Linked DNA regions of Macaca mulatta. The protein of the gene in region 2 interacts with the protein of the main gene of each other region in a biochemical or structural test. Links are inferred from orthologs where the notes say so. Each region holds a gene or a part of one and is shown on either strand. Other genes may lie near its edges. The genes, in order: WNK4 and OXSR1.

Evidence for each region.
Region 1: the proteins of OXSR1 (region 2) and WNK4 are reported together in a solved structure, tested with the Homo sapiens proteins (2 studies listed by BioGRID and IntAct, with this or other methods). The link is inferred for Macaca mulatta from reciprocal best matches to the Homo sapiens genes OXSR1 and WNK4.

Annotation. Positions count from the first base shown.
Region 1 is NC_133421.1:67,135,371-67,139,189, forward strand, and holds part of WNK4 (serine/threonine-protein kinase WNK4), read left to right. Parts: intron 1-558; coding exon 559-779; intron 780-1,044; coding exon 1,045-1,202; intron 1,203-1,701; coding exon 1,702-1,790; intron 1,791-1,871; coding exon 1,872-2,088; intron 2,089-3,819. UniProt on the Homo sapiens protein: Serine/threonine-protein kinase component of the WNK4-SPAK/OSR1 kinase cascade, which acts as a key regulator of ion transport in the distal nephron and blood pressure.
Region 2 is NC_133407.1:100,508,553-100,512,348, reverse strand, and holds part of OXSR1 (serine/threonine-protein kinase OSR1), read right to left. Parts: intron 2,866-3,796; coding exon 2,813-2,865; intron 1,289-2,812; coding exon 1,220-1,288; intron 381-1,219; coding exon 316-380; intron 1-315. UniProt on the Homo sapiens protein: Effector serine/threonine-protein kinase component of the WNK-SPAK/OSR1 kinase cascade, which is involved in various processes, such as ion transport, response to hypertonic stress and blood pressure.

The DNA.
Region 1 (3,819 bases), on a different chromosome or scaffold from region 2:
AAAACCCCTTCAAAGTTTCCCATGGCCTTGGAATAAAGCCCACACAGGCTCACCTGTTCACAGACGCCTTGGGATACAGCCTCATTTTTAGCCTAAGTTCCAATCACACCAAATTCCTGGCACCTCGTCCCACCCTGCCTTGTCACTGGCTTTTTCCGTGCCTTTGAGCATAGTGTCCTGTCTGCCTGGGAAGTCTCCATCCCTTCCCCCTTTCACCTTTGAGCTCCTACTCATCATTCAAGATGCAACACAAAAGTATTTCCTCTCCGAAGCCCTCCCTCATGCTTGGGGCAGTTGGTCATCCCTTCCTGCGCTTCCACAGCACCTTGGCTGCGGCCCTATCAATTTACTTCCCAACCCGTTTGGTAACATCATGTCTATCCACCACACCCCCTGACTCAGTTTCTCCCTGTGGCCAGGCAGACATAGACTAGGAGAATGCTGGCAGAAGATGCGGAGGCGGCAGCAGGGTGCTGCAGGGGGGAACTTCCCAGTGAGGGGACTCCTCCCCATTGGCCGTGTCCCCCACCAGGACCCTTGCTATGTGCCCTCCCCCAGGTACCTGAGGCGGTTCCGGGAGATGAAGCCGCGAGTCCTTCAGCGCTGGAGCCGCCAAATCCTGCGGGGACTTCATTTCCTACACTCCCGGGTTCCTCCCATCCTGCACCGGGATCTCAAGTGCGACAATGTCTTTATCACGGGCCCTACTGGCTCCGTCAAAATCGGGGACCTGGGCCTGGCCACGCTCAAGCGCGCCTCCTTTGCCAAGAGTGTCATCGGTGCGTCTCTCCAGGAGGGTCCATGCCATTCCTTCCTCCCCCACCTCAGAAGAGAACCTAGGTACTCCCTCCCCTCAGCAAGGGCCTTCAAGGTCCACGAAACTACCAGATGACAGGGGAGCTGAGGAGACCTATGGCATCCCTCCTCAACCCCACTGTGGGCCGGGGTCACTTGCACTCGCAGGGTTGCCTGGGGCTACCTAGCCCAATGGGAAGGACAAGGCCAGAGTGCCCAGCAACCTGATCCTTGCTGTTGACCCTACAGGGACCCCGGAATTCATGGCCCCCGAGATGTACGAGGAAAAGTACGATGAGGCCGTGGACGTGTACGCGTTCGGCATGTGCATGCTGGAGATGGCCACCTCTGAGTACCCGTACTCCGAGTGCCAGAATGCCGCGCAAATCTACCGCAAGGTCACTTCGGTGAGAGGGATGGGACTGGCGGGAAAGGCAATTCCAGGGCCACTTCCCATTTTCCTGCCCCGGCCAGCCCGCAGTCAGTGCCCTTTGCCTGCACGAAAACAGGCTAGACAGAGTCGCCTTGGGGAACACAGGATATTGAATGCACATGCACCCCCTCCAGTACACGCTATTTAGAATAATATGTGTGGTGCTCCCAAGAGTTCACAAATGATTTCGCATCCCATCTCTCATCCAATCCTTCCAGCTGCCCTGTGAGGTGAGCGGGGCAAATGTTCCACCCTGCGATTTACAGATGAACAAACAGCGGGAGACTTGTTCAAGGTCACACTGTAAATACTTGGCGGGGAGTGAGATTTGAAATCACATCTTCCAGTGGCAGTCAGGCTTTTGCAACTGCACGCGTAGCTGCCTAAGGCGGGAGTGGAGTAAGGGGTGGGGGGTGTCAAGCCGAGAGCTGGGGATCAAAGGACCGGAGGTGTCATGCAACCCCTTCCCCCAGGGCAGAAAGCCGAACAGCTTCTACAAGGTGAAGATACCCGAGGTGAAGGAGATCATTGAAGGCTGCATCCGCACGGATAAGAACGAGAGGTGGGGGTGAAAGGGCAGAGCATGGGTAGAGTAGGGCCGCGGGCCGCGGCGGGCTAGGCTAACCCCTCGCGTCACCCTCAGGTTCACCATCCAGGACCTCCTGGCCCACGCCTTCTTCCGCGAGGAGCGCGGTGTGCATGTGGAACTAGCGGAGGAGGACGACGGCGAGAAGCCGGGCCTCAAGCTCTGGTTGCGCATGGAGGACGCGCGGCGTGGGGGGCGCCCACGGGACAACCAGGCTATCGAGTTCCTGTTCCAACTGGGCCGGGACGCGGCCGAGGAGGTGGCACAGGAGATGGTGAGCGGAGGACAGACTGTGCTGCCAGTGGACGTGTAAAGGGCATTGACCCGAGGAGATAGTGCAACAGGGATGGGGCGCAGGAGGCGTGGCAGCGATGGGGGCGGGGCACCTTACTCCTCTCAGAATCTCCTGCAGCGTCTCCCTACCTCTCCAGCCCTAACTTACCTGCACCCACACCCAGTTTTCCTTTACAGAGGGAGCCCTGGGTCCTCCAGCATCCCTGCTTTACCTCCAGCTGATCTGTTCTTCCTGGAATGCCCTTCTTGCCAATTTATCTTTTCCTTCTTTCCTGCCTCCCCCTTGTTCTTTTTCTTTTTCTTCCAATATGATCAGAACCATCGATTTCGGGAAGCCATCCCCTCTGGAGTCAAACTTAAATGCTTCTTTCCACTTCAGCAAGTTCTCTGTTACATCACTCCCCACTATCGGTCCTGTCTTAGACCTGAATAAGTTCCTATCTTTCTTCTCCACTAGACTATAAACTCCCTGAGGGCAGAGACTGTGTTTATTGATTCTTCTATCCCTGGCAGTGCTTGGCACATAGTAAGAGCTCATTAATAGCCCACATCTGTACATGGCTTAAAGCACTTTCACATGCATTTGATCTTTGCTACCCATCCTGCATAGGGGGCAGTTTTATCTCAACTTGTTGATAAGGAAATGGAAATTTAGAGAGGTTGAATACCTTGTCCACTGCCCCAAGTAGGTAAGTGGAAGAGCTGGATTGAAACTGAGGTGGTTCAGATTTTAAATCAGGTTACCCTTCCCCACCTCCTTTACTCACTCAGCAAAGCTTGTGGCTAAAAGGAAAGAGGAGGTGATGAATGGAAGCTGGTAGAAGGGGAGAGGCATAAGATGCAAGGGCAGACGCCTGGGGACTGGCTTAGGAAGTCCTGAAGGGAGTATGAGATTCTTTTTGGGGAATAATGGAGTCTCACTCTGTCATCCAGGCTGGAGTGCAGTGGCACTATCTCAGCTCATTGCAACCTTCGCCTCCTGGGTTCAAGCAGTTCTCCTGCCTTAGCCTCCCCAATAGCGGGGATTACAGGCACGAGCCACAATGCCCAGCTAATTTTTGTATTTTTTAGTAGAGACGGGGTTTCACCATGTTGGCCAGGCTGGTCTCGAACTCCTGACCTCAAGTGATCCACCTGTCTTGGCCTCCCAAATTGCTGGGATTACAGGTGTGAACCACCGTGCCCGGCTGAGTATGGGATTCTTAATACAGACATGACTGTTGCAAGGGTGGAGACCACCTACGGTGGGACAAGAACCTGAGAATGTGTTAGAAATTTAGAGCAGGTCTCCATATCATGGAGATCCAATCTTGATCCATTGCTGACAAGGGATTCTTGGCCTTGGTACTGTTGGCATCTTTGTTTTAGGGACTGCCCTGTACATTGTAGGATATTGAGAAGAACCCCTGGCTTCTACTCACTAGATTCAATAGCATCTACCTTTGAGTTGTGGCAACTAAAAATGTCTCTAGATATTGCCAAACATCTCTTCTTCCCATTGGAAACCACTGACTTACTGTATAACTATGAACTGGTCAATTCATTAATCTCTAAAATGGAATGGTAAGGTTTATCCCACAAGGTTGTTTGGAGGATCTAATGATGATAATGTAAGGAGCTGCCAGTTAGCAGACATAGTGGGTCATCAGTAAGTGTTGGTTTCCTTCCTCCCATATCCCGGAGTTCCCAAGAAGGTGTCCTGATGGATCTT
Region 2 (3,796 bases):
CCTAGGATACAAATAGGAGACTGACGAAGGTATTTATTCCAGAAAAGAAGGGGGCTGGGTAAACAGCTAGAGTCAGACTGGCTAATAGTTTCTCTTATGAATAGCCAAGGGGCTGGGGTCAGAGGTTTCCTGGCATGGACAGAGGAAGAGTGGCCACTCAAAGGGAAACATCAGCCCAGGGCACTGGGGAGGCTAAATGAACACAATCCACCACATTTTAATATCCTCATCACTCAGGGCACATAGAAGCTGGTCTGGAGAAGCTGCCAGTGTGTAAAAGGCAAGACGTTTTCATAAGGAAGAAGAGATGAGTACCAGTTTGAAAGTGACAGATCGATTTGACTGAGGTTCTTCCACAATTTTCTGCAAATTAGCTGCCACTGTAATCATACAAACAGAGAAGGTAATGAATGAGAAGTTACATAAATCCACTTTCAACCGTATTTTAAAAGCTTAAATGGTAGTTAAGAATATGCTCTGTACAATCAAAATGGAAGCAGACAGATCAAATAATCACTCCCCAAATGAAAGTGTCTTTTAAACTGATTTCTAAGTAGTACACCTTGAGCCACTGTCAAATTAACTTTCTTTAAAATGTTGTATTAAGGTAGGAAAGACATGCAGGTAAAAGAGGTATGATTTCCTGATTTACGGATCAGAAACCCCAAGGCCAGAAGTCAACAAACCAGCCTGTGGTCTGTTTTTGTTCTCCGGCAAGCTAAGAGTGGTTTAAAAGCGACAGACACTGTACATGGCCCGCAAGGCCTAAACTATTTACTATCTGGTCTTTCATGGAAAACTGTGCCTAAGGACATGGTCTTTTCCTTCAGTAACAAGGACCTGTGGCCTCATTGGGCCTTCTCTCTTCCTTCCTGCTTTTCTAGGACTAAATATCTAATGACTTTTGTTCAACCTGGGCCACAAAAATTAGGTATCCAAAACAGATCAGATATGACCAAGCTTACTTTAACTTGTTACTTTTGCCATAATTTCTATTAGTCTCCTAAAGACCTTGGGTGTGCTTTCACTTACTATCATTGGAGGTCACAAACAAACTCAGAGGTGAAATTTTGTGTGTGTGTAAGGAACTATCCCATTACCTATAATTTCAGCAAAGCCAAGAACCATCAGACCTACTCAGTGAAATTAAAAACCTGCTTTTCTATGTACTAAGTATACAGAGACACAGGAGCACATGGGCAGAACGCAATGGAGTTACCTATTACTAAATCCCTTCCGTCGACCAGGCCAGCAGAAATGAGTTCCTGAGAGACACCCTCCGCTGTATCTGCAAGGACAAAGAAGACGGTGCTCTGTTTTTTGTGCATGCTTGACACTGTTAATGCTCACAGCTCGTGTGGGTGTCAGTGTGCCATGCTAGGCCCAAGTTGGCTGCTAAATCCACAGAACCAAGAAGGCAGGCAGGGTCTTCCTCCCAAAGACTGTTCCTACCACTGGGATTATCTGAAGTGAGGAATTCTCACAGATCTAGCTAGAGGGCAGAATCTGTATAAACCAGGTGGCAAATATCTGGTTTATACAGCTCAATGTAAAGATAACTTTCTAAATGGTGTAATGTAGATGGGTTCCGGCCCAGTCAGAAAAGCACCTGACACTGATGTTGCAGAGGAAATTCCTATTTTCAAGTACAATCCTGGACTGAGCTCTCAGAGCTCTGAGACATAATGTTGAATACTGAGCATCTCTAGGGCTAAAAAACCAGAATGATTTATTCTCAAAAACTGAGGCAACCATTTTTGTCTCAAAAAATTTTTCTCTTCTCTTTGGGAATCATACTCCAAGTTTTTTACTAAATTCATTTACTTTTTTATTCTGGTGGGCTTTTCTTCTTATCTAGTTATCCCAGGTGGTACAATCTGAGCAATGGGTATAACTAGAAAGTAAAAAGATGAGGATAGAGTATCCCCAATTAACCTCATCTTCAACCGACTCAGTAGTACTGGTTCCCAAGGGCTTGAAAATGAGCACCTCAGAGGGAACAGGAGGACTGCTGCGGAGAGTGTCCACACATTCACACAGGCAACCAGCAATTTGAATTAATTCCTGAAAATGTGATGTTGCCTGGTTTTTAAAAAGTAAAACTGGTAACACCTCTGTACACCCGCATCTTTTCTCTTTAGTGGTTAGTTGCTGATAATAGTGAGACGGCAAGAAGAATAAGCATGATACACAGAACAGATACTTGCTGGCTACTCCCCAAATTAGAATCCTGAGTAATAAAGGCAAGAAACAAAACATGCCTTGTTCAAGGTGAAGTTCGACAGCCAGAAACAGTACATGACAAGCCTCAGCTTCCGTCTGAGGAGAAAGGAGACTGCAGACCTTGTTTCTTTACCATCATGGAGGACAACCATGTATAAAGCAAGAACTCTGGATTCTGACAGATCTGGTTTGAATTCCAGCTCTACCTCTTTCCAGCTGTGTGACCTTGAACAAGTTACTTTGCCTCTAAGTCTTGATTTCATCATCGATAATATGGGGATAATAATTTTTCCTTAGTAGGCTGCTGTGAGAATTTAATAAGATAACGCTTAAGACAATGCCTGGCCTATACTAAGCTGTAAAGAGCTATTATATATTTATTACTGTTTGTGTTATTATACAAGGTTTTCTAAATGTGTTTAGTAGTCTACGAACTGCATTTTTATCTCACTTATATGCTCCCCAAAACCGGGAAAATTTTTTATTATCCTTTAAAAGCAAAACTTCACAAAGGACAGAAACTTCACAACACATTTCACTGAATCACAAATTAGAAGCTATTTTGTTTTCAATCCGTTTGATGCCTCACCTCTCCCAGGAGTAAATTCAAATCGAATATCATTTAGTTCTTTTTTGGAATTCCTATGAAAGAAAGCAGAAGGCATAAAATAAGAATTTCTAAATTTATGCAAAGAGATTCTGCCAACATGTATTAAGAAACCTGTGCCTCAAGAAAGACTGTTTTGTTCCCATAGATCATACGATGTATTCAGATATGTTCACACTGCAGAACTCAGAGCAAAACCAATTTAGAATGACCATCTAGTTGACCTACAACCCTTTGAATCTATGTCCCTTACTGATCAATATAAAAATTTCATGCCTTTGAGTAGATTCTTATATGCCCACTCCCATCCTTATTCCCACTAAGAACATATAAAACTAAGAGGAAAATTGTATGAGCACAGGGAGGTGTGATTAAAATTATACAGGATGCCTTTTTCATCCTTATCCGCATTCCTACATGCCCACAATTCATTGCCTACCACTGGTGATCAGTCTTGGCAGACTCATAAAATGAAATACATGATGCTCCCTCAAATTCCATAGGAATTCAAACAATATATGAGAGATGGGGATAATAAGGAAAAATTTTAGAAGTAGTTTTTATATAGGACTTAACAGATAAGCAGGATTTGGGTAGGCAGAGAGGATAGGGAAAGGAACTGGGTCCATACTGATAGCAGAGTTAATACATGACTCCAGAAATTCAAACATGACTGGTGAGGTATAATTACAGTGATGACCACACCACGTACTGAGATAAAGCAGGATCCCTGGAGGTTATAAAGTTTAAAGACAGAGAAATGAGAGCATTATATCTAAGGGCAGATATTCCTGCTCACTTAGGACTCAAATCTATTTTATATAAACAATGGAGAGGGTTTACTTCTATATGAAGAATAATATACTTGAGGATGTTACTGAAATTGTGCTTAAAATAGAACTACCCATCTCAAATATAACCTGCCCCAAATGATTTTCCCTTGCATTGCGTTCTCTCTACACAGGT